4 linked regions of the Drosophila melanogaster genome follow. The protein of the gene in region 1 binds, or shares a complex with, the protein of each later gene. Each region holds a gene or a part of one and is shown in the gene's direction. Other genes may lie near its edges.

What was found.
Region 2: eIF3g1 (region 1) and eIF3h share a complex: the UniProt entries of both Drosophila melanogaster proteins name them as parts of the eukaryotic translation initiation factor 3 (eIF-3) complex.
Region 3: eIF3g1 (region 1) and eIF3f2 share a complex: the UniProt entries of both Drosophila melanogaster proteins name them as parts of the eukaryotic translation initiation factor 3 (eIF-3) complex.
Region 4: eIF3g1 (region 1) and eIF3d1 share a complex: the UniProt entries of both Drosophila melanogaster proteins name them as parts of the eukaryotic translation initiation factor 3 (eIF-3) complex.

What each region holds. Positions count from the first base shown.
Region 1 is NC_004354.4:2,608,007-2,613,119, reverse strand, and holds eIF3g1 (eukaryotic translation initiation factor 3 subunit g1), read left to right. Parts: upstream 1-2,783; 5' UTR 2,784-2,874; intron 2,875-2,937; coding exon 2,938-3,747; 3' UTR 3,748-3,873; downstream 3,874-5,113. Other genes in the region: Smyd3 (SET and MYND domain containing, class 3), read left to right, coding at 4,453-4,649, 4,708-4,949, 5,017-5,113. UniProt on the Drosophila melanogaster protein: RNA-binding component of the eukaryotic translation initiation factor 3 (eIF-3) complex, which is involved in protein synthesis of a specialized repertoire of mRNAs and, together with other initiation factors, stimulates binding of mRNA and methionyl-tRNAi to the 40S ribosome.
Region 2 is NT_033779.5:5,049,753-5,055,773, reverse strand, and holds eIF3h (eukaryotic translation initiation factor 3 subunit h), read left to right. Parts: upstream 1-2,690; 5' UTR 2,691-3,038; coding exon 3,039-3,119; intron 3,120-3,459; coding exon 3,460-4,137; intron 4,138-4,203; coding exon 4,204-4,461; 3' UTR 4,462-4,581; downstream 4,582-6,021. Other genes in the region: His3.3A (histone H3.3A), read right to left, coding at 15-143, 234-515; CG14036 (uncharacterized protein), read left to right, coding at 822-1,103; senju, read right to left, coding at 1,396-2,359, 2,418-2,535, 2,606-2,690; CG9121 (uncharacterized protein), read left to right, coding at 4,897-5,116, 5,757-6,021. UniProt on the Drosophila melanogaster protein: Component of the eukaryotic translation initiation factor 3 (eIF-3) complex, which is involved in protein synthesis of a specialized repertoire of mRNAs and, together with other initiation factors, stimulates binding of mRNA and methionyl-tRNAi to the 40S ribosome.
Region 3 is NT_033778.4:6,198,063-6,203,069, forward strand, and holds eIF3f2 (eukaryotic translation initiation factor 3 subunit f2), read left to right. Parts: upstream 1-2,790; 5' UTR 2,791-2,854; coding exon 2,855-2,959; intron 2,960-3,015; coding exon 3,016-3,771; 3' UTR 3,772-3,894; downstream 3,895-5,007. Other genes in the region: CG30432 (uncharacterized protein), read right to left, coding at 1-157; CG30431 (uncharacterized protein), read left to right, coding at 4,885-5,007. UniProt on the Drosophila melanogaster protein: Component of the eukaryotic translation initiation factor 3 (eIF-3) complex, which is involved in protein synthesis of a specialized repertoire of mRNAs and, together with other initiation factors, stimulates binding of mRNA and methionyl-tRNAi to the 40S ribosome.
Region 4 is NT_033777.3:23,677,178-23,683,434, forward strand, and holds eIF3d1 (eukaryotic translation initiation factor 3 subunit d1), read left to right. Parts: upstream 1-2,861; 5' UTR 2,862-3,013; coding exon 3,014-3,212; intron 3,213-3,334; coding exon 3,335-3,970; intron 3,971-4,039; coding exon 4,040-4,332; intron 4,333-4,408; coding exon 4,409-4,963; 3' UTR 4,964-5,140; downstream 5,141-6,257. Other genes in the region: GILT3 (Gamma-interferon-inducible lysosomal thiol reductase 3), read left to right, coding at 233-460, 679-987, 1,061-1,174; GILT2 (Gamma-interferon-inducible lysosomal thiol reductase 2), read left to right, coding at 1,791-1,850, 1,917-2,081, 2,207-2,500, 2,559-2,663; CG16710 (uncharacterized protein), read left to right, coding at 5,326-5,401, 5,593-6,205. UniProt on the Drosophila melanogaster protein: mRNA cap-binding component of the eukaryotic translation initiation factor 3 (eIF-3) complex, which is involved in protein synthesis of a specialized repertoire of mRNAs and, together with other initiation factors, stimulates binding of mRNA and methionyl-tRNAi to the 40S ribosome.

The sequences.
Region 1 (5,113 bases):
CTTTAAGAAAGAATTTCACCTAACAACGGATGCTTCCAATTTCGCAGTAGGTGCTGTTCTTTCACAAGAGAACAGACCCATCTCATTTTTATCGAGAACACTCTCGAAGGCGGAAGAAAATTATGCCACGAATGAGAAGGAAATGTTAGCCATTATCTGGGCTCTAAAAAAGCTAAAAATTTACCTTTACGGTAAAGCAAAGGTGAAAATCTTTACTGACCATCAGCCTTTGACCCATTCTCTCAGTAGTTGGAATGGAAATGCGAGGATTAAGAGATGGAAAGCATACCTTGAGGAATATGACTACGAAATTTTCTACAAGCCAGGCAGAGAAAATACTGTAGCCGACGCTCTGTCCAGAGGACCGACAGTCGAACAAATTAACACAGTAGCCTCAACAATGCACAGCTCTGACAGTTCGAGCCATGGGCTGATACCTAGCGTTGAAGCCCCGATAAACGCATTCAAGAATCAAATTTTCTTCAGGGAGTCCGAGTCAGAGAACTACTCATTTAGCATTCCATTCCCGACATTTCAAAGGCATTTAGTAGATCGCAACTTGTTCACACCCGATAGTCTCTTGTCAGATTTGAAAGAATATCTTAACCCATCCGTGATTAATGGAATTTTCACATCCGAGGATGTAATGGGGAAAATTCAAATTCTCTACCCCATCCATTTTCAGGGTTTCAAGATTAGATTCTGCCAAAGCAAAGTCAAAGACCTTGTTAACGAAGCCGAACAAGAGGAAGAAATACTTAGGACACATAACAGAGCACACAGAAATGCTGTGGAAAATAAAGCTCAGTTGTCCGAAAGAGTATACTTTCCTAAAATGAGGAAAAAAGTTTCGGCTATCGTGAATCAGTGTTTGGTGTGTAAGACTGCTAAATATGACAGACATCCCACGCATCCAGAAATAAGACAAACTCCCTTGCCAGAATACCCCGGACAAATTATTCATATTGACATCTACTCGACAGAACGACATCTGGTGCTCACGGCGATTGATAAATTTTCCAAACTGGCCATGGGAAGAGTTATCAAATCCAAAGCTGTAGAAGACATTAGGAAAGCCCTAAGAGATATCGTGTTTTATTATGGAGTGCCTAAATTAATAGTAATGGACAATGAAAAGTCCCTCAACTCAGCCTCTATCAAATTCATGTTGACAGACCAGCTGGGTATTGAGCTCTACAAAGCACCTCCGTATAAGAGTACAGTAAATGGACAGATAGAAAGATTTCACTCCACACTCTCTGAAATAATGAGATGTTTGAAAGGAGATGGAACACATAGGGGCTTCGAGGAACTTCTCGATAGGGCCATCTATGAATATAACTACACTGTCCATTCTGTCACAAAAAAACGACCTCTAGAGGTGTTCTTCGGCAGGATAGCTACCGTAGCTCCAGAAAAATATGAACAAGCTAGACTGGACAATATAGACCGACTTAGGCAAAAACAGGAAACCGACATAGAATACCACAACCGGACAAGAAAGCCCATAAAAACCTATATCAAAGGGCAAGAAATTTTCGTTAGGGTTAATACAAGATTAGGTTCTAAGTTATCAAGTAGATTTAGGAAGGAACTAGTTAAGGAAGACCGAAGTACCACAATATTAACAGAATCAGGGAAATTAGTACATAAAAGTAACATAAGATCATGATTGCTTCAGAATAATTACTGTGGCCACATCGATAGACAAGTAGAACATAGAAACATTAAACATACTGATTAACGTAACCACGAGAATTAAATTTGAAACGATTCGACTTTGACAGACGAGTTGGCCATAGGTTTGCAGAATTAGATTGGGCTCGTGAAAGAAGAGATTGCGTTGTGAATGCGTTTCTGCGGAGCGAGTTTAAATTGAATGAGACCAGTAGCCTACTTGAAAACAATATACCGATTTCTGCCTTGACGGTCAAATAAATGTTAAAACTTTCACACGTTCTCGCTTTACACAACGGAACTACAATTTGAATGCCATTGAAATCTCCATATTGAATCAGTTAATTCCTTATTTCTTATATTTTAAAACATGATCAGTAAAGGAAACTAATAATAATAAATAAATAATAATTTAATTTGAATAATAATAAAATTTACCAATTAAAGACGAAATGTACGGAATCAATGCCTTCTGCAAAGGTTCCAATGGTCTAAAAATATGTAGATATAAATTCATTAGTAATTTAGTAAAAACCAGAATTTTAATAGAAGCAATCAAGTTGTCAATGCAGAACACATCCGAGTTGCACAAACCTCGAACGCACGCAACAATAAACACCTGGCATTCAAACCATTAATGCTGTGCCCAAACTACCACGAATCACCCCACCAACGATGCGACTCAAAAACATCCCATCCTTATGATGACCGCTCGAGGACAAGCGTCAATTAAGAGGGGAGGAGTTATTGCCCTGCAATTGATTCTCTAACATCTTGTGGTTCCACATAGTCTCCGCTGCCATCAACGCCAACGAACGGTTAAGCGCGACATCGACACTTCTGCGCTGCGCCGCGGCCGACGCCTGCTGCGCCGCTGCCGACGACTTCACTTGATTGCTAGGGACTTAGGGAAACATTTTGTACGCTAGATTTAGTTTCAAATGATAAATTGCAATAAACGGTCGCTTGCGATCTTCAAAATCAAATCGATAACTTATTAACTTATATGTAACGAAATTTCAAATGGTATATTCCAAAAAGTGCAAAGTGGTATTAGCGGTATATTTTTTGGACACACACGGCATATTTTTGTGACCGCGGCAGGGTAACACTCTTTTGTTGCTGATTAAAAATCCGCTTAACTCGTGGCGAAATTTGCATTTACGATTTCGCATACAAATCGCGTTGAAAATCAGAGTGAGTGCACCCCAAGCAAGCGCCCAGTGTAGCCCCACTCACTGCGCCCTCAATTCCTTTCAGATGCCGGGCGTTGAAACGATCAAATCCTCCTGGGCGGACGAGGTGGAGCTCGACTATGGTGGACTACCTCCGACGACGGAGACGGTGGAGAACGGACAGAAGTACGTGACGGAGTACAAGTACAACAAGGACGACAAGAAGACGAAGGTGGTGCGCACGTACAAGATATCCAAGCAGGTGGTGCCCAAGACGGTGGCCAAGCGACGCACCTGGACGAAGTTCGGCGACTCGAAGAACGACAAGCCCGGCCCCAACTCGCAGACGACCATGGTGTCCGAGGAGATCATCATGCAGTTCCTCAACTCCAAGGAGGACGAGAAGGCCAACGATCCGCTGCTAGATCCCACCAAGAATATTGCCAAGTGCCGTATCTGCAACGGTGAGCATTGGTCGGTCAACTGCCCGTACAAGGGCACGGCGATGGACACGAATATGATGGAGAAGAAGGCTTCGGCAGCCGCCGCGGCCGCCGTCGATGCGCCCAAGTCCGGCAAGTATGTGCCGCCGTTCCTCAAGGACAGCCAAAAGGGCGCGCTGGGAATGCGCGGACGCGACGACACGGCCGCCATTAGGATATCGAATCTGTCGGAGTCGATGACCGAGGCGGATCTCGAGGAGCTGGTGAAGAAGATTGGACCGCAGAGCAAGATGTATCTCGCCCGCGACAAGAACACCGGACTCTGCAAGGGATTCGCCTACGTGCACTTCAAGCAGCGCAAGGATGCGGCCGCCGCCATCGAGATCCTCAATGGACACGGCTACGACCACTTGATCCTCAGCGTCGAATGGTCGAAACCCCAGAACAATTAGTTAGTCCCGTTCCCACTACCCGCGTTTACTGCTCATAGGAGTCCGTTCGAGTCGATCACACAATTTGTCCCTATGCTATGCTAAGTTTGCTACAAATAAATCTTAAAACAGCCCCCATGGGCACCGAAAACCAGATGACTATGCTCTGCAAGGATACAATGGCATCTAGAATCGTATATTTTTCATATTTGATATAACTTAATCGCTCTTCTTTAGTTTTGCGGACCAACCAACACAAATGCTTTCGACTTTTGCTCTAATATAGCTTTCTCCCTCGTTTTAAAGGACGCAAGGCCACCAAATCGTAGACACTGGGAACAACATATAAAAGAAATATTTTTTATTTGTTACTTAAAAAACTTGAATATGATTTGTTAAGTGTATTTTTTAACGACATGCAGCTACCCACATATGGTTAACAAGTTAACCTTACGCGGTGCCCACTGTAGAAAGCATGATTCCAGCCGATCTGGCAACGCCATCGTTTGCATGCGAATAAACACCATGGTGTTGTTGTTTTTGTGTTTGCCAGCGATTTGCGTAAATTGTGTTTGTTTTTGTGGCCAAAAATAGAAATCAGATGCCGCAAAATATTCAAAAAGCATTCGAAACAATATTTTTGATCTTCAGGTGTGCGCTCATTTTCAGTCGTCAGTGAGACGGGCCCCCAGGCGAAAGTCTTTGTTGTTGCTCCGTTCGAGCGAAATGGCCACCGCCACCGTTGGTTCATCCAGATCCGCAACCACATCCGCAACCGCATCCGCATGCTCATCCAAATCCAAGAACCTAAAGAATCCGGCGCCGCAAATAAAAAGGGGACAGCGGATCCTCACGGAGAAACCATTCGCCTTCGTCTTGAAATCACAGTACCGCCTGGAGCGGTGCGATAACTGCCTGGAGGCGTAAGTTTCGCCATGTGGCTGCCTTTGTGAGCTATCTAATTTGGGTTCGTCGTTGCAGGACCAAGGTGCTGAAGTGCTCCAACTGCAGGTATGTGTCCTACTGCCACCGCTCATGCCAGATGCAAGCTTGGGGCCAGCACAAGCACGAGTGTCCTTTCCTCAAGAAGGTGCATCCTCGAGTTGTGCCCGATGCTGCCCGAATGCTCTGCCGACTGATCCTGCGCCTGGAGCACGGCGGAGACCTGATCCGCGGCTATTACACCGAGCACGGCTCCCGCAAGTTTCGCGATCTCATGTCCCGTGAGTAAACCAAAGGGCGAACCGCTTTGCATGGTCATTCCTAGCTAATCCACGTTAACGTGCACAGATTACGCCGAAATCAAGAACGATCCCATGCGACTGGAGCACTTGGACTCGCTGCATGCCGTCCTCACCGATATGATGGCCGAGAGTCCCAGCACGGT
Region 2 (6,021 bases), on another chromosome or scaffold:
GCGGTCATGGGCATTTAGGCCCGCTCGCCACGGATGCGTCTGGCCAGCTGGATGTCCTTGGGCATAATGGTGACGCGCTTGGCGTGAATGGCGCACAGATTGGTGTCCTCGAACAGACCGACCAGGTACGCCTCGCTGGCCTCCTGCAAATTGCGCATTTGAAATGGGGGAGAGACGCATTATTACATGACCGTATGAAATAGTCACGGTGCAGGGAGTGCTGTACACCATACCTGTAGGGCTCCAATGGCCGCCGACTGGAAGCGCAGATCGGTCTTGAAGTCCTGGGCTATCTCGCGCACCAGACGCTGGAACGGCAGCTTGCGGATGAGCAGCTCCGTGGACTTCTGGTAGCGACGAATCTCACGCAGGGCCACCGTTCCAGGACGGTAGCGATGTGGCTTCTTCACTCCGCCGGTGGATGGCGCCGATTTACGGGCCGCCTTGGTGGCCAGCTGCTTGCGGGGCGCCTTGCCTCCGGTCGATTTACGGGCTGTTTGCTTGGTACGTGCCATCGTTTACCTGGTAATTAAGTGGTTTTGAGCAGATTTGACAATTGACCGAACTCTATGAAATTTTCAAGCTGAATGAAAAGTAAAAGGGAGGGACGGGGTGGTTTACGCGCGTCTGCTCAGTGTGACCCTATATTCATCGGGGGTATTCCGTATAAGGTCAATATCTTGACAGCTGGTTTGAAAAATAAATAAATCGAAAATTCCTTACTTCCGATAACACAACCGATAACTAAAACTTTAAAACATAGCGGTACCTTAAGCTTTATGAATTTGTTGTTTTGACAAACGGCTCTTGACTTTTTCAAAATGTCCGATTTCGAGTACGGAATTTGCCCTTACGACAAATCGCACCGCATCTTGCTCTTCCGGATGCCCAAGCACTTAATTAAGTGCGAGAAGAACTACTGTGGACCGCCGCTGCAGACCTGCAAGTACAACGCCACACACCGAGTCCAGGACATGGAGAAGCATCTGAAGGAGTGTGACTACTATCTCCGCAGCATCGAAAACCAGGCGGTGCAGATAGCGCTTCGTAGTCGCATACCGCCCAAACAGGAAGATGGACATGATGTGGACACACCATTTTAGGCTAAGACAAGCAGGCATCCAAATATACCATGTACATATGTGATAGTATATGAACCATAAAATAAAAAGCTTCTTGAAGAAGCATGCACAATATTCGTTTGATTGCATTTATGTTCTGATTAAAATAAGAATCTTAAACTAGAGGAGCAAAAGTTTTGGTATTTACAAGCCTGTTGCTATTGCATTGCACAAAGCCTGGGGTCAAATACATTCGTCTGGCGTTTAAAACATTTGCAGGCACTTTTCCACAACTATTTACAGTCTAAGATTACGTCTAGGACAAGCTACAGCATTACACCATATCGAGGTCCGATTCTGCCGCTTCCTCGTCGATCAGCTTTCGTTTATCCGTTGATTTGGTCGTGGCATCACTTAAATTGGACAGCGGACGCACCTTGCCCAAATTAACCACCGGGCTTTGGGTGTAGAGATAGATGGCGTAGGATACAACCGCGATGGCCAGCGCGGTGTTCATGTAAATGGGTATGGAGAAGAGGAAGTAGCATAGGACTGCCGTGAAGAGCAACTCCAGAGCGCTCGCGAAGGTCTTTAGAATGGAGTTCATGTACTTGAGGAAGAAACTCGTGACAATGCCAATAGCCGCATTGTTAACAATAATGATTAGCACGCTAAAGCGCATAATACTGCCCAGATTCTGCGGACTAAAGGCATCAAGGAGCTCGCCGCGCAGCAAGAGGATGACTGCATTGCAGACAATCGAGTCCAGGTACATGAAGACATTCTGTACAAAGATATTCACATCGGCTCCCTTATCTTTAAGCAGATACTCATTGTAAACGCCCGCCAGACAAGAGCAAATTGTCTGTGCCAGAATGAAGACGGCACTCAGGCTAAAATCGAAGCCGGACATGTTCTTGCCGTGAGCGTGCGTCTCTGCAGAAGTTGTTTTATTATGTGATTGCAGCTGCTGCTGTATGGCTGCGGACTCGCTGTCATCATTCGCATCGCTGTAGAAGCTGCCGAAATCGACCTGCTTCATCATACAGCCGAGTGTCAGCAGTATGAGGGAGATCCATTGCCTTTGCGACAGGTACTTCTTGAAGATAATTTGGAATAGTATGCCCGTGACAACGACACGTAGCTGCAGTAGCAGATAGTAGGTGGTGGGATCGAATGTGGCCAAGTTGACAAAGGCCAAATTGTTGTACAGGCAGTAGAGAAAGGCGGGCACCATGTACAAGCCCAATACATTCCGATCCTTCTGAACATCGCGCACCAGGGAGCGTAGGTTGTTGCTGTGAATGAAATCGCGGTTTAATAGCGAGACAAAGGAGCGCCTCCACTCCTACTCACTCTCGGCAATACAGACAGGTGGAGACTATCAATTTAAAGACCTCGGTTAGCAGCACAACCGTGACGGTATTGTAGCCATAGGAGTTATTCGATTCCTGAGATGCTGTGACAAAGATGCCTGCAAAATAGACAGGAATTAGGGTGCGGCTTTGGCTTGCGTAAAAAGCCTTAATAAGGCAGCTGCATACCCTGTCCTATGAATAGGGACATGTACAACAGGAAGATCACAAATGTGAGCTTGGTGGGGAACAATTCACGCCAATTAGTTGACATTTCTGCGGTCTTCGTACTGCCAGCGTTGCGTTGCTAATGCGAAGAGAACTAAGACTAGCTACAAGTTGCGGCAACCGCAGTTATCAGTACCGTTCCGCTCGTTCGTGACAAGTGGGCCGTTTCTCGGTTTTCTAGGAAGTACAATTTTGAGTTTGTTTCTGTTGCTTTTCCACTGATAAACAAAATATATTTTGGGCCTTTTTTTATCGCTCGCCCGAACAGCTGATTTTAAAGCAGTGCACGCTTTTCAACACTTCAACCCACACAAAAATTGTGGTGTTGCGAAACGCCCTTTTACCACTGCAGCCGAGTTCACGTCGTGGGTCTTTTCGCTTACAATTCGTCAACATGGCAAATCGCGCAAATCGTCATGCTGCTCGCACCGAGGATTCGGATAATACCATTAACTACGTCCAATGCGACGGACTGGTGAGTAGTGCTGTTGGCCAAAAGACCTGGCCGAGATTGGCCCGTGGGAACCGGCGCGAAAGCCGGAAAAGTTAATGCCACGCGCTGTCTCAGAAATTTGCGTGCTTTGTGTGTGTTTGTATGGGTGTTCGTGAGGACATGGGCGTAGAGCTATAAGGAAAAGGGGGCCGGTCTCTTCATTACCATAGCACAAAAAACTTCAGTCAAATGTTTTCTTCAGAGAAACTATTAAAAGAAAGTCCGAAATATATCTACTTTCCACGCCCCTGTTCAAATGCAAATAGTTGTCTGTCGCTAATTGATTTTGGAACATAATTACTACGATCACTTTACCTTGCAGGCCGTCATGAAGATGGTGAAGCACTGCCATGAGGAGTCGAGCAACATGGACCTCGCCCAGGGCGCCCTGCTCGGTCTGGTGGTAGACAAGTGCCTGGAGATCACCAACTGCTTCCCGTTTCCCAAGAGCGGCGATGAGACCATGGACGAGGAGATGTACCAGCTGACCGTGATGCGTCGCCTGCGTCGCGTCAACGTAGATCATCTCCATGTGGGCTGGTACCAGAGCTCCGACGTGGGCAACAGCCTGTCAATGGCTCTGTTGGAATCGCAGTACCACTACCAGACCAGCATTGAAGAGTCCGTCGTTGTCGTCTACGATACGCAGAAGTCATCCCGCGGATTCCTGTGCTTGAAGGCCTACCGCCTTACTCCGCAGGCCATTCAGATGTACAAGGATGGCGACTTCACTCCAGAGGCATTCCGCACCCTGAAGGTCGGCTACGAGAACCTCTTCGCCGAGATTCCCATTGTGATCAAGAACTCGCCGCTGACCAACATTATGATGAGCGAGCTGAACGAGCTGCTGCCCGAGGACAAGGGGCACAACTTCCTGGACCTGGGCACCGCCACCGTATTGGAGAACCAAATGCGTAGCCTGATCGAGCGCGTCGACGAGTTGTACCAGGAGGCAGTGCGCTATAACAAGTACCAGCAGGTGGTCTTCAAGCAGGATACGGTACGTAGCAATATAATTAAATATGTAAAAATTCCTAATCGCTTTCCTTGCATTTATATTTTTTAGGAGAAGCACCGTGCTCTGGCTAAGCTGGCCGCCGAGAACGCCGTTCGCACATCGAAGGGAGAGCCCACGGTGCCAGAGGAGGAAGTGATCAAACAGTTCCGCCCCATGACTGCGCCCAACCGCCTGACGGCCACCATAACCTCTGGCCAGATCAATACCCACGCCCAGCATATCGCACAATTCTGTTCGCAATCGCTGGCCAAACTCTTCATCACGGAATCGCTGCAAATTGCCAAGGAAGCAAAGGAAACCAAATAGATTAGCTAATGTTAAGCGTTTTTTAAGCTGAGGCAACAACATTCACTACCCACAAACATAGCAACTGCACACACAGACGTCGAAAATAAACCAAACAAGCGATGAGTGGGCTTGGAAGCGAACTGCCAGCTGATTTCTTCTTTATTGTACTCTCCATTTGCTCAATAGAATGGCCAATTCAAACCGCCCCAAAAAAAGAAAACCACCACCCGCTATGCAGCCAAAAATTGGTACTGCTTCTGCGCACGCCGGATGTTTGGTTTCACTTCTCGATGAGACTTTCCGGGGGAGTGTTGCTGCCACTGACGACATCGACGCACTTTTCACACCACCCCACAAGCAGCTGCTTATCATTTGGTTTGTTCTTTTCGCTTCGCCTTTTCGCTAACCAGCTTCAGTTAGCCTAACTAACTAAATTACTAACCCGATGGCAAAATGCTGTCCTACGACCTCAACGAACGCCTGCTAACCGCCGTACAGAGCGGAGATTTCGAGCAGGCTCTGGGCTGCATCATGCAAGGTGCCCAGGCCTCGTATGTATCGCCCACTTGCGGACGCACTGCCGTGGGCACGGCGGCCATTCTGGGCGATGCCGAACTGTTGGAGCTGCTGCTTCAATCCTGCGAGGAGCCCGAGCTGAATGTCTTTCATCAGTGTGAGTTTTCCTTCCACTGGTTCGTTCTGAAAACAAACGAAACTAACTTTCGGAAAATTTAATTGCATTAAAAACAAACACATAGAGAACATTAGAAAAAAAAATGCTGTGGGTAAGCTAGATAATGTGTATGTATATTGTTCAAAGGTAAAACATAAACATAAATAATAATAATAATAATCAATGGATCCAGGAAACGAATTAGTTAGATACAAGAAAATTTTAAATGAAGTGCCAGTTCGTTTGTTCACTTTTGGAGTATATATAATACTATACAGAATTTATTATAATTTTAATACTCCCACTAAGTTGAATGATCCAATTTTAGTCGGTTAATTTTGTACGTACTCAATTTCTTGTTGTGCATTCTTTTCTCTTTTCGGGTCTATCCAACATAATGCAAGCACAGAGAAAAGTAAGTGAAGGCCGGAAAACCGGTTATCGGTTGGCCAGTTAACCGGCTGATAACAATGCTCGACAATGGGTTCCAACTGCAACCAGACACAGTAGACACGGCTAGTTCTATGTGGCAAGTAACGAAAATCTTGTCAAACCTGAAACCTGTACTTCATACTGTCTTAGCAAAAAGATTTTCAAAAACTGCTTTCTTAGAACGTTTCACGTTGGTTTTGAATTGCAGCGAACACGGATAGCCTCGAGATCGAGCGGACGCCCGAGGGTATGGAGAAACTGGAGTGGGTGGATGAGTTCGAGAATAGTGCGGAGAATGGAGCGGGCAGCGGCGAAGAGGATAGCCAATTGTATCAGTATTATGCGAAAACCTTCGAAACCACCGGAGAGTTCATATCATCCCAGTGCTGTGTCTCCTGTCGCGAACATGATCCGCATCTCTACGATGCCGATGTGGCCACTCCGCTGCACTACGCCGCCTACTGGGGTCACGA
Region 3 (5,007 bases), on another chromosome or scaffold:
GCTCTATGTAGTTCATATAGGAGAAAAGTACAAAGTCATTGAGACGATAGCCCGTCACCTGAAACGCCACGATCACCAAACATATAATCCCAACCGGCACAATGTAGATGATTTGTATGACCAACAAAATATTCAGAAATTCTTTGCGGCCTTCCATGCCGGCGATACTAGAGAAAAAGATTTGTTCACTGATTTGACAGGTTTCTAATAACTGACTGATTATACCCGTTACTCGTAGAGTAAAGTGTACTAGATTCGTTGAAAAGTTTGTAACAGGCATATAAACTATATATCTTCGTGATCTTCGGCTCTTGTCGAACGCTAGTTTGTTAATTCAAGTTGCCAAACCCAATCTTGCGCTGCGACTCTGTCTCTAGAATCTGTATGGTGAATTTTAACCTCCTAGCTTTTATAGTTCCTGAGATCTGCACATTTATACGGACAGACGGACATGGCCAGATCGACTCGGCTATTGATCTCGATCAAGAATATATATACTTCATATGGTCGGAAACGCTTCCTTCTGCCTGTTACATACTTTTCAAAGAATTTAGTATACCCTTTTACTCTACGAATAACGAGTATAATAATGAAATTTTGCGTTCGCATTTCTACCATCTGTGTAGCGGGTATCTGATAGTCGGGGAAGTCGACTGTAGCAGTCTACCTTTTTTTTTAATATTGTTAAATAGATATTGATAGATACTTATATATAACTTTATCTTCACTACGGCCGGACAAAGTTCATTGGTTTAACAGCACGTACCTTCCCATAATCCATTTATGTTTTCAAATAATTAATTTTAGAAAAATAATTAACTTTTCAGAACTGGTTACTTCAATCGAGTTATTTAATCCACACGCAATGATATGTCGAACGTGACATGTTGGACGTGACAATATTATTTCCATGTATAATGATTCGAGGAAAAGATTCAGACGCTGCAAAAAGTTAATATTCCTGTTTTAAAACCAACAATTTTTGAATTTCTTAATATTTACATGGCAACTAAAGTAATATATAATTTTTAAGAATCGCAGTAAAAGAAAATAATAAAATGTACTTTTAGTATTGTGTGTTTCTTTTATAGTAGATTTATAATCGAAGAGATCGATGGGAAATTTAAAAAAATTACAAAAAATTATATAAATTATTTTAAGTTTTTAGATATCAATCTTACGTCCCATTACTTTATTATTATATCACATTTTGCAACAATTGTTTGACACAAGAGTATGTAACAATGTTAATTCGTTAGATTAAATGTTCATTCAAACTCTTTAATAATAAGGCTTAACTCGGACTCCAAAGCTGTTAATGGTACTAATTTTTATATTTTCCAAAAAGAATATAAAACTATCGCCTTACTAGGTGTACTTTTTCTTAGCGTTACACTTGTCGCTTTCGGAAATAATTTGGAGGCATCTTGATGGAGGTTCAAGTTCACACTTAATTTGTGATTTGTGCTCACGGTCTGCATTCATTAAATCTCTGCTTATGTTTAACATGGTTGCCATTTAAGGAATTTACATTTTTAGTACTTAATAAATAAATTAACATTCTTATCCAGCCCATTTTGCATTTACATTAACCACATATGATTAATTAAAGCTTATGAAATCCGTATAAAAATTTAAATCAACGATTTTTAAGAATAAACTTAAATTTACGTTTTAGAGTAACATAATTTTAGTGGTGTTGTTAGAATCTGCATGCTTAATGCACTCCCTAGATAAGTTCCCGAGATCTCTACATTCATTTAGATAGGCAGACAGATGCACGGTAGGAGGATTTACTTTACAAGACGGGATACGCTTCCTCCTACCTGACACATCCTTTTCTAGCAATCTATCTAGTTTACCCTTATGCTTTACGACCGACAGGTATAAGATGGAAATTGCCGAGGATTGAATAAAATATTCCGTTATCGAGCTAAAACCGTTTTAAGAAGCGGGAGTTTTACAATCGATTCTTCTTGCTTCAAACAAGACCTGCGTGTAAGATCTACGCCGTAGATGGCCGATTTTTATAATGCAATATGTTGGGCTTATAGCAATATGCATATTTGGTTATTCATCGATGAATTTACTTTGCAGGGAATAGTTTTTAAATTAAAAGTCTTGTACATTTTCTAATAAAATATACACTCGACATAAAAGAAGAATTATCACGAATTTGGGTAACAATATTCATTGACGGCTATATAAATATATTTTTTTAAAATATTAAAAATATATAAATTAGTTCCCATGCAAAATGGCCTCATTGGTTTTGCTATGTAAACGTTTTACCAGTCTGATTTGTTTACCACCTTAACTGAGTTTTTAATATAGGGCGCCAATTGAAATTTGTATGAGTATGAAATTAAAGTCATTATGCCGTATGCGAAATATGGGAGGAGCAAGGAACACTGCCATTGATACTTGGTGAGATTCCCATTTCACAAGGTATTGATACACGAAATACCCATGGCTATCCGTAACAAACTCATGCACGTAAATTAAGAGTCGTTTTAACAGACATTTACTAAATTTTAAACTATATACATATATGGTAAAAAGGCAGAATGTTTTTAATTTTTGTTATTATGTTCTTATAGCATACACAACTGTAAAATAATGTATGATGCTTAATTTAAAATTATTTTAAGCTTGTTTTTTCTGTTTACCATTTCAAAATGTTTCTAAATAGGCAAGTTTCTAAATAGCAAGGCAACGAAATAGGTGAGCACATTTTGGCACGTGCCCTTTTAAGTTATATTTACATTTTACAACACTGGATCGAGGGGAGGCACAAGCGCAGCCAAGTTTGCTTTGCTAAGTTTCTTTTCCAACTTAATTTTTTTTGTAACTCATGATGTCTAGGAATTTTAGCATGCGAGCTAAGGTGTATCTAAAGCCGTTGGTGTTTTTCCAAATTATTGACGCATACGATCGCCGACCAAAAGGTGACAATCAGGTAGGTGTGCGCGCATTCATCTCCTGTCCACTAATCTTGTAATGATCAAACCAAAGGTTATGGGCACTTTGCTGGGTCGCAACAAGGAGGGCCACATCGAGATCACAAACTGTTTTACTGTGCCGCACAAGGAGCATTCGGAGAACAAACGCATTGATCTGGATATGGCATATGCCTCCGAGGTCCTAGAGCTAAATATGTTCGCCTATCCGAACGAGCGTGTGCTGGGCTGGTTCTGCACTGGGAAATCGGTGTCCCGCTCCGCGTCCCTGATCCACGACTATTATGTCAGAGAATGCTGCGAAGGACAGCCACTGCACCTGCTAGTGGATGCAGCCCTGAAGAACCAGCGACTCTCGACCCGACTGTACTGTGCTGTGGAGATGGGAGTGCCTGGTGGCACCAAAGGACTGATGTTCTCATTAGTTCCACTGGAGATTAGCAACGAAAATTCCGATTTGGTGGCTCTGCGTTGCATAGAAAAGCAATCGCAGCAACAGGCAAGCAAGCAAATGGAGCGCTTCGTCCCAGAGTTGGCTCAAGTGGTGGATGCCACTAGGGATATGCAACATCGCCTTGACTTGGTGCTGCGCTACATCAACGATGTCTTGGCCAGGAAGAAAAAACCTGACAACGTAGTCGGGAGATCCCTTTACGCCGCTCTCACTGCCGTGCCGCTTTTGGACTCGGACAAATTTCGCGTCATGTTTAATACTAACTTGAGGGATATGCTCATGGCCATCACTCTTTCCACAATGATAAAAACACAGCTGGAGATCAGCGAGAAACTGTCTTGCATGCAGGATCAGTGAACAATGACAAAAAACTGACTGAATTGACTGAATCAATCACTTAATTGTTATTTTGGGTGCCTTTTGCTATTTACACCACCTAATAAATTGAACTTTCATTAAAAGGAGGATGTAGGTCACACTAAAGCAAGCCTTCGGTAGAAATTATTAAATTAGTATCGGCTCCTGAACTTTGGAGTCTAGAAACATCGCATCCAGCGATTAAGATCATTATAAGCTCGTGCCGAAAACAAATGATTTTCGTTAAGGCTTCCCCCGTTCTACACAGTTGCGTTGCCCGAAAACCTTATAGGCAACGCTTGATCGGCATTCTTTTCCAGCATCCCGATCTTAGTCCCTTTGGTAAGTGATTTTCAGAGAAAGCGAGTCATTTCGCCAACTCCTTTGGCCGTTTAAGCACCAAAAAGTTTGCGGTAAATACAACAACAGTGCTGGGAAACCCGCGGCGGAATGATGATCTCTACGGACGGTGATAAGGTCCAGTACAGATCTATTTCGGTCTGTTCAAATCTCGACGAAGAGGGCACGGCGGAGGATGGTAGTGGAAAGGTGGTGGGGGTGTCGGGGATGTGGACCACCCAAATAATGCCGAGATAATAACGCCTTATCGCGGTTCAGGGACAGTCGGCGGATGTCCACCGGGGCAATCAATTAGCTGGAACGAACTGAAAATTAGCAAACGTTGACGTTGACCGTCGATAGTAGCCCTACGACACCCCTCTCCTCAGACGAATCTCCCGTTGTCTCTCTGCGCCCCCACCCCTCAGACGAACCGACGCCTCCGCCGCCTCTGACTTATCGCTCAAGCCAAGGGCTATCGGTGTGCCCCGGTCGCCTTTCCTGATAGACATCGCTGCTCTGAGGAGTGGATTAGATGCGGATCCACACCCTCAGACGTCCAGCGACCGGCGATCCGAGCAGACGCACGAAGTATTAAGCCTGTGGTAAAACCGTAATGAGATCCGATTTCAAAATGAAAACCCAAGTAGACTGAGCTAAGACTACAACGCAAGGAAAACAACTATGCCAATCGTCCGTATAGATCGGGGCTTCCTTGATTGAACTCACAGTGTAAACCGCGATCGTCCGTCCGGATTTCGGCAACTAAGTATTATGCTCTCGCTGCTGCCGCACCACCCGCTCGTCTGCCGCTGCTGCCTGCTGGAGCAGCCGCCGCTCTACCACAGTCTCTATGACGCCTCTAGCCAGCTGGCGGTGGAGCTGAAGGCCCTGGCT
Region 4 (6,257 bases), on another chromosome or scaffold:
ATTGTTCGTTCGATGGCGGGAGAAATGGGAGAGAAAGAACAAATATATAATATATATATATATATACATACACGTATATATATATATATATAGGAGGCGAGCGTGTATTTGTGTGAATGTCACAGATGTGCGTGATTGTTTCCATGGAGCGGCGCAAGTGAAATGGGCAAGTTGAAAAGAGCAGTTGTGTTTGGTTTGTGAGGCTGCCAAGAGCGAAAAACGAACGCGGACAATGAATAAAATATTTGGGCTACTGTTTACCCTGTGTCTGCTGCTCGTTTGGCCCACGCCCGGAAATGGCCAGTCCCCGGATGAGTCCCGGCTCCTGGTGGCCATTCACTACGAGGCCCTGTGCCCGGACAGCATGAGCTTCATCCGGCGCAGATTGTACGATGCTCTGCAGGACAACGACTGGTGGTCGGTCACCGATCTAAAGCTATATCCATTTGGCAAGGCGGGGGTGAGTCAGCTAAGATCAAAATGATAGAATTCTTATGCATACTATAGTCATTTCTTTAGTACTCATTTCGAATTCATTAGCAGTTCATTTCGAAAACCATTTGTATTTACATTAAAAAAAAAACAGCAATAAACTGAAATACACACACACAATTTGTTTGTAGATCGTGAAATAGTTCATGTTTTTTGAGGTTTTAAACCAGAATTTGTTACGTGCAGTTCTACAACAACACATCCACTGGCGAGAGCCAAGTATTTTGTCAGCATGGCGTGGATGAGTGCGAACTAAATGCACTCCATGCCTGCATTATTGAGACCCTGGACATTCGGAAGGCCTTCAATCTGATCTACTGCATGCTGCGCTCCTATTCGAATGAGCTGGGCCCGTGCTCGAGGAGCATGGGTGTGGACGTCAGCAAGGCCAGGGAGTGTAAGGCATCCCGAACCACGGCAGAAATACTGGCGCCCTACGGCAAGGAAACCCTTAAACTGGGCATCTCCTTTGTGCCCACCATTGTGTTCGAGAATGTGAGTAACCAACCCAACCAGGCTTACATGATCAAATACCAGACTTAACTTAACATTACCCTCTGATCCGCAGGACTTTGATCCTTACGACCAGAGAAGCATTCGCAACAACTTCGAAAGACACTTCTGTCGGCAGTATCTGAAAAAGTTCAACATCAAACTGCCCACTTGTTCCGCAATTTTGTAAACTTTTATGTAATGTACTGAGTAATTTAACTGTTTCAATGTTCCAAGACCAATAAACAATAATTATAACCAACTGGAGTGTTTGCTTACTCGCTGACTCACTTGGGGCCAATAAAAATTTACATGTGTATAGTATATACATATCAGCTTATCAGTCATGTTTTTGTATACAGATTCTAATCAGAAACAGCTGTCTGGTGGTCTAAAAATAAGATTAAAACCCCGCTGCTCAGTAAGTTTTCCGTAGTCAGCGCATAAATGTAAAGGGGAAAATGCTGGTTGACAGCAGGGGCGTCGAATTGGTTGGCTAGTCACACCCTTTATCTATATATTTATATTAATTTTTTCAAAAGCGGATATATTACAGAAAAATTATAAAAAACAAGCGAAAAGTCACCCTACTATTGCAATACAAATAATTATTTTTTTTTTAACTTATATGATTTTTGAGCCCCCCTTGAGCATTTTCTAACCACGCCACTGGCCGCTTCGAATTTGACGAAACGCAGTGACAACGCTGCGCATTACAAGTCCCGGAATTATTTCAGTGTCGAGCGTTCGCTGGCGTTGAGCGGCCGAATATTTCAAGATCAGCTCGGGATTAAACTGAATTTGCCATGAGGGCGGCTGTCTTTGTGTGTCTGCTGCTGGGATGGGTGGGCGTGGCCACGCCAAGGGTAAGTGACCCAGTTGATCGGACTGAATCCCGAATTGCGACGCTCCCATTGATCGTGACTTTGCAGCGTTTGCGCGGACCGCAAGCTGACCGACTGGCGATCACCCTGTACTACGAAGCATTGTGTCCCTACTGCATGGAGTTCGTGACCACGCAGCTCAATCCCTCGATGGTCCGTCAGGATCGACTTCCATTCACTGATCTTACGCTGGTTCCTTATGGAAATGCCAGGGTAGGTTTCATTTTTCGTAGCTTAAACTAGTAGTTATAGTACAAGTACATAGTATAGCTCAATTTGAAGTTTTAGAGTGTCAATCAGCGTTAATCCGCACTTAAACTTCGCTTAATCCCCTCCAGACGAACGATGACGGAAATGTGGAGTGCCAGCACGGAGTGATGGAGTGCGAATTGAACGCGTGGCACGCCTGCATACTGGAGCACCATGACATTGCCCAATCCCTCAAGCTGATCGCCTGCATGATGAGGGGTAAGAAGAACAGGCTGGAAAAGTGCGCTGACCACTATCAAATCGACGTGGGCGATGTCAAAAATTGCAAGAAAACGCGACAGGTGAACGACATTCTGAGGAAGTACGGCAAGGAAACGGCCAAGGTCTCATTTCAGGGAGTGCCAGCCGTAGCTCTGGATAACGTGAGTTTAAATGCGAAAGAAATTCATGAAATCTAAAATAAAACTTTGTGATTTTAAGGTTTATAACGCGGATCTATCAGCAAACTTAACTGATCATTTTGATGCCATTTTTTGCGCCAAGTATAAGGAAAAGTTCAATAAGCAGCTAAATAATTGTCAATAAATATTGTGTTCATTTAACAATACATTTTTTTATTAAAAAATATTTTTTGCATTTTCTTTGTAATTAAATCGTAAAATCAGGTTCTGAAAAATGAATAGTTCGAATTTTTAGTTTTCCCGCCCAGCAGTGGCGCCATCTATGACAGCATGCTGCCAGACCTTTGAACATTCGCTACGATTTTAGTATTTTTCTTTGGCGGTGGTATATTTCAACGCGACAACGGTCCCACTCAACTATTTTCGCAACACGCGACGATACGAATTTTCCACATTTCTTTGTTGATTTCTGGAAAATCGCTGTATATAGACCGAATAGCCGACTGCAGACTGAGCACCAGGTAAACGCGCGAGATGAGCGAGACCATAAACACCGCGGCTCAGTTCCCGAGCTTCGAGAAGCCGACCGTGCAGTTCAATGAAAAGGGCTGGGGTCCCTGCGAGCTGCCCGATACGTTCAAGGATGTGCCGTACCAGCCGTTCAGCAAGAACGATCGTCTGGGCAAGATCTGCGACTGGACGAATACGTCGAACAACGACAAGAAGTACCAGAGTGAGTTTATTCCCCACCCGAAACCGACCCACAAAATACTAATCGCCGAAAGTGAGGTTAGGTAGGTGTGTCGTGGCATGATATTGTTGCTAACATATTGGTGGTTGGTATTCCATTCGCAGACAAGTATGCCTCCAGCTTTGGCACGGGCATTCAGTACTCGTACTACCATGAGGAGGACGAGACAACCTTCCACCTGGTGGACACGGCCCGCGTCCAGAAGCCGCCGCACCAGCGCGGCCGGTTCCGCAACATGAGGAATTCGCGTTCCGGTCGTGGCAGGAATGCCCGCGGTGGCCTTAATACTCACGGCATGACGACGCTCAGCGGCAAGAATGTAAAGGCCCGCGATCCGCGCCATGGTCGCGGCATGGGCAAGAAGTTCGGTCATCGCGGACCACCACCAAAGATGCGCGAATCTTCGGTGGCCGTCCGCGCCGATTGGGCATCCATCGAGGAGATGGACTTCCCGCGACTCATCAAGCTGTCGCTGCCCAACATCAAGGAGGGCGTCGATATTGTCACCTGCGGCACGTTGGAGTACTACGACAAGACCTACGACCGCATCAATGTGAAGAACGAGAAGCCGCTGCAGAAGATCGATCGCATCGTGCATACGGTGACCACCACAGACGATCCCGTCATCCGGCGTTTGTCTAAGACCGTCGGCAATGTCTTCGCCACGGACGCCATCCTGGCCACCATCATGTGCTCTACGCGATCGAACTATTCCTGGGATATTGTCATCGAGAAAGTTGGTATGTTAAATGAAATACGAAATATAATAATAATAAGAGAAATAAATAATAATTGTAACCTTATTTTAGGCGACAAGGTGTTCATGGACAAGCGTGACCACACCGAGTTCGATCTGTTGACCGTGAACGAGAGCAGCGTGGAACCACCGACCGACGACGACAGCTCATGCAACTCCCCTCGCAACCTGGCCATCGAGGCGACTTTCATTAACCACAACTTTAGCCAGCAGGTGCTTAAGACTGGAGACCAGGAACCCAAATACAAGTTCGAGGAAAGCAACCCTTTCATCAGCGAGGACGAAGATATCCAAGTCGCCAGCGTGGGCTACCGCTACAAGAAGTGGGAGCTGGGAAGCGATATTGTAAGTGTTGCATAATCCAACTTTAAAGTTGGAATATTTTTCTATATTATGTTAAACTATTGTCTTATACTTTTAGGTCCTGGTAGCGCGTTGCGAGCACGATGGTGTCCTGCAGACGCCAAGCGGCGAGCCGCAGTTCATGACTATCAAGGCACTCAACGAGTGGGACTCGAAGTTGGCCAATGGCGTGGAATGGCGTCAAAAGTTGGACACGCAGCGCGGTGCTGTGCTCGCCAACGAGCTGAGGAACAACGCATGCAAGCTGGCCAAGTGGACTGTGCAGGCCGTCCTGGCCGGGTCCGATCAGCTAAAGCTCGGCTATGTGTCGCGTATCAATCCGAGAGATCACTCGCGTCACGTCATCCTCGGCACGCAGCAGTTCAAGCCGCATGAATTTGCCACTCAGATCAACCTGAGCATGGACAACGCCTGGGGAATCCTGAGATGCATCATCGATCTGGTGATGAAGCAGAAGGATGGCAAATACCTGATCATGAAGGACCCCAACAAGCCGATCATCCGTCTGTACGACATCCCAGACAATACTTTCGACTCCGATGACTCGGACGATGGCGAGGGCGATGACGAAGGTTTCCAGCAGGTCTACAACTACGCGCACAACAAGATTTAGACGCCACGCCCCCCTACTCCTGCATCCCTTCCAGTCTTGGGCTCTTTTGCCACAACCCGCTAAGAATAACCACAACTGATGTCCTCTAAAGGAAAAGGTCATGTTATAGGCCCTAGCTTAAGCATTTGTATTCGATTTAAATTCAGATATTTCCTAGTAAATCACAGAGGGCGAAACAATACATGAATTTTTATTGGTCCAGGTCTAATGCCGGGTACTTGTGATAAAAACTTTCGACTGAAACACCGAGGTCTTGTACGTAAATGACTGACTCATTTCCCGGACTCATATATAGTAAGCTGATTGTGCGTGTCGGGCATCTAGTTAAGATTTAGACATTGTTTAAACTCTGACGGTTAAAGATGGTCTTCCTACAAAGAGTGTACATATCCTTCCTGGTCCTGCATACTCAATTGCTGATGTACCTGGCTGAGTCTGGTAATATATGTTGCAAGTACTCCACATTGTATACGTTATAACATTCAAGAAAATGATTCATTTGGATATGGGTATTTCCTTGAATTTTAAAATATAAATAGCTTTGTTTCGTCCAATCATTATCTAAACATCCAATTAAAATGACTCACATAATATAATATTTATTAATATCCAATTCTTTACTGTATCAGAATATCCGCCTTGTAATCTGGATGAGAAATGCATTAGTCTAGCCCGCTGCACATCACTCTTGCCCTTTCTGAAGCCCCACAACATGACGCCAGCCGAGAAGGCGGTATTCGAGGACAGATATTGCGGCTATGGCCCCAAGGGGCAGGAATTATTGGACAGAGTTCTCATCTGCTGCCCAAATATGGGACACATTTTGCCAAATACCCAGATATGTGGACCAATCATGCCGGCTTATCGAATTTTCGGAGGAGAGGAGACGCAACCCAACGAGTTGCCTTGGATGGCCCTGATTCTATATGCGCATCGCAGCCGTTCGGTGTGGAATGAAAGACTCGTGTCCAGGTGCGCTGGATCCCTGATCACAAACCGCTATGTGCTGACCGCAGCCCATTGTCTGAGGATAACGGGATTGGATCTCAGGAGGGTGCGCCTTGGCGAGCATAACATTTTAAGCAATCCCGACTGCGTCACCCATATTAATGGTAGGGAACACTGCGCTCCAGAGCATCTGGAAATTGACGTCGATCTGAGTATCAAGCATAGGCACTACATGGTCTTCGAGGAAAGGCCCTACAACGACATCGCCCTGCTGCGATTGAAGTTTCCAGTACGGTTAGTTGCACTTGACCTGTCATATCTTTTACTACATATATATATATATATA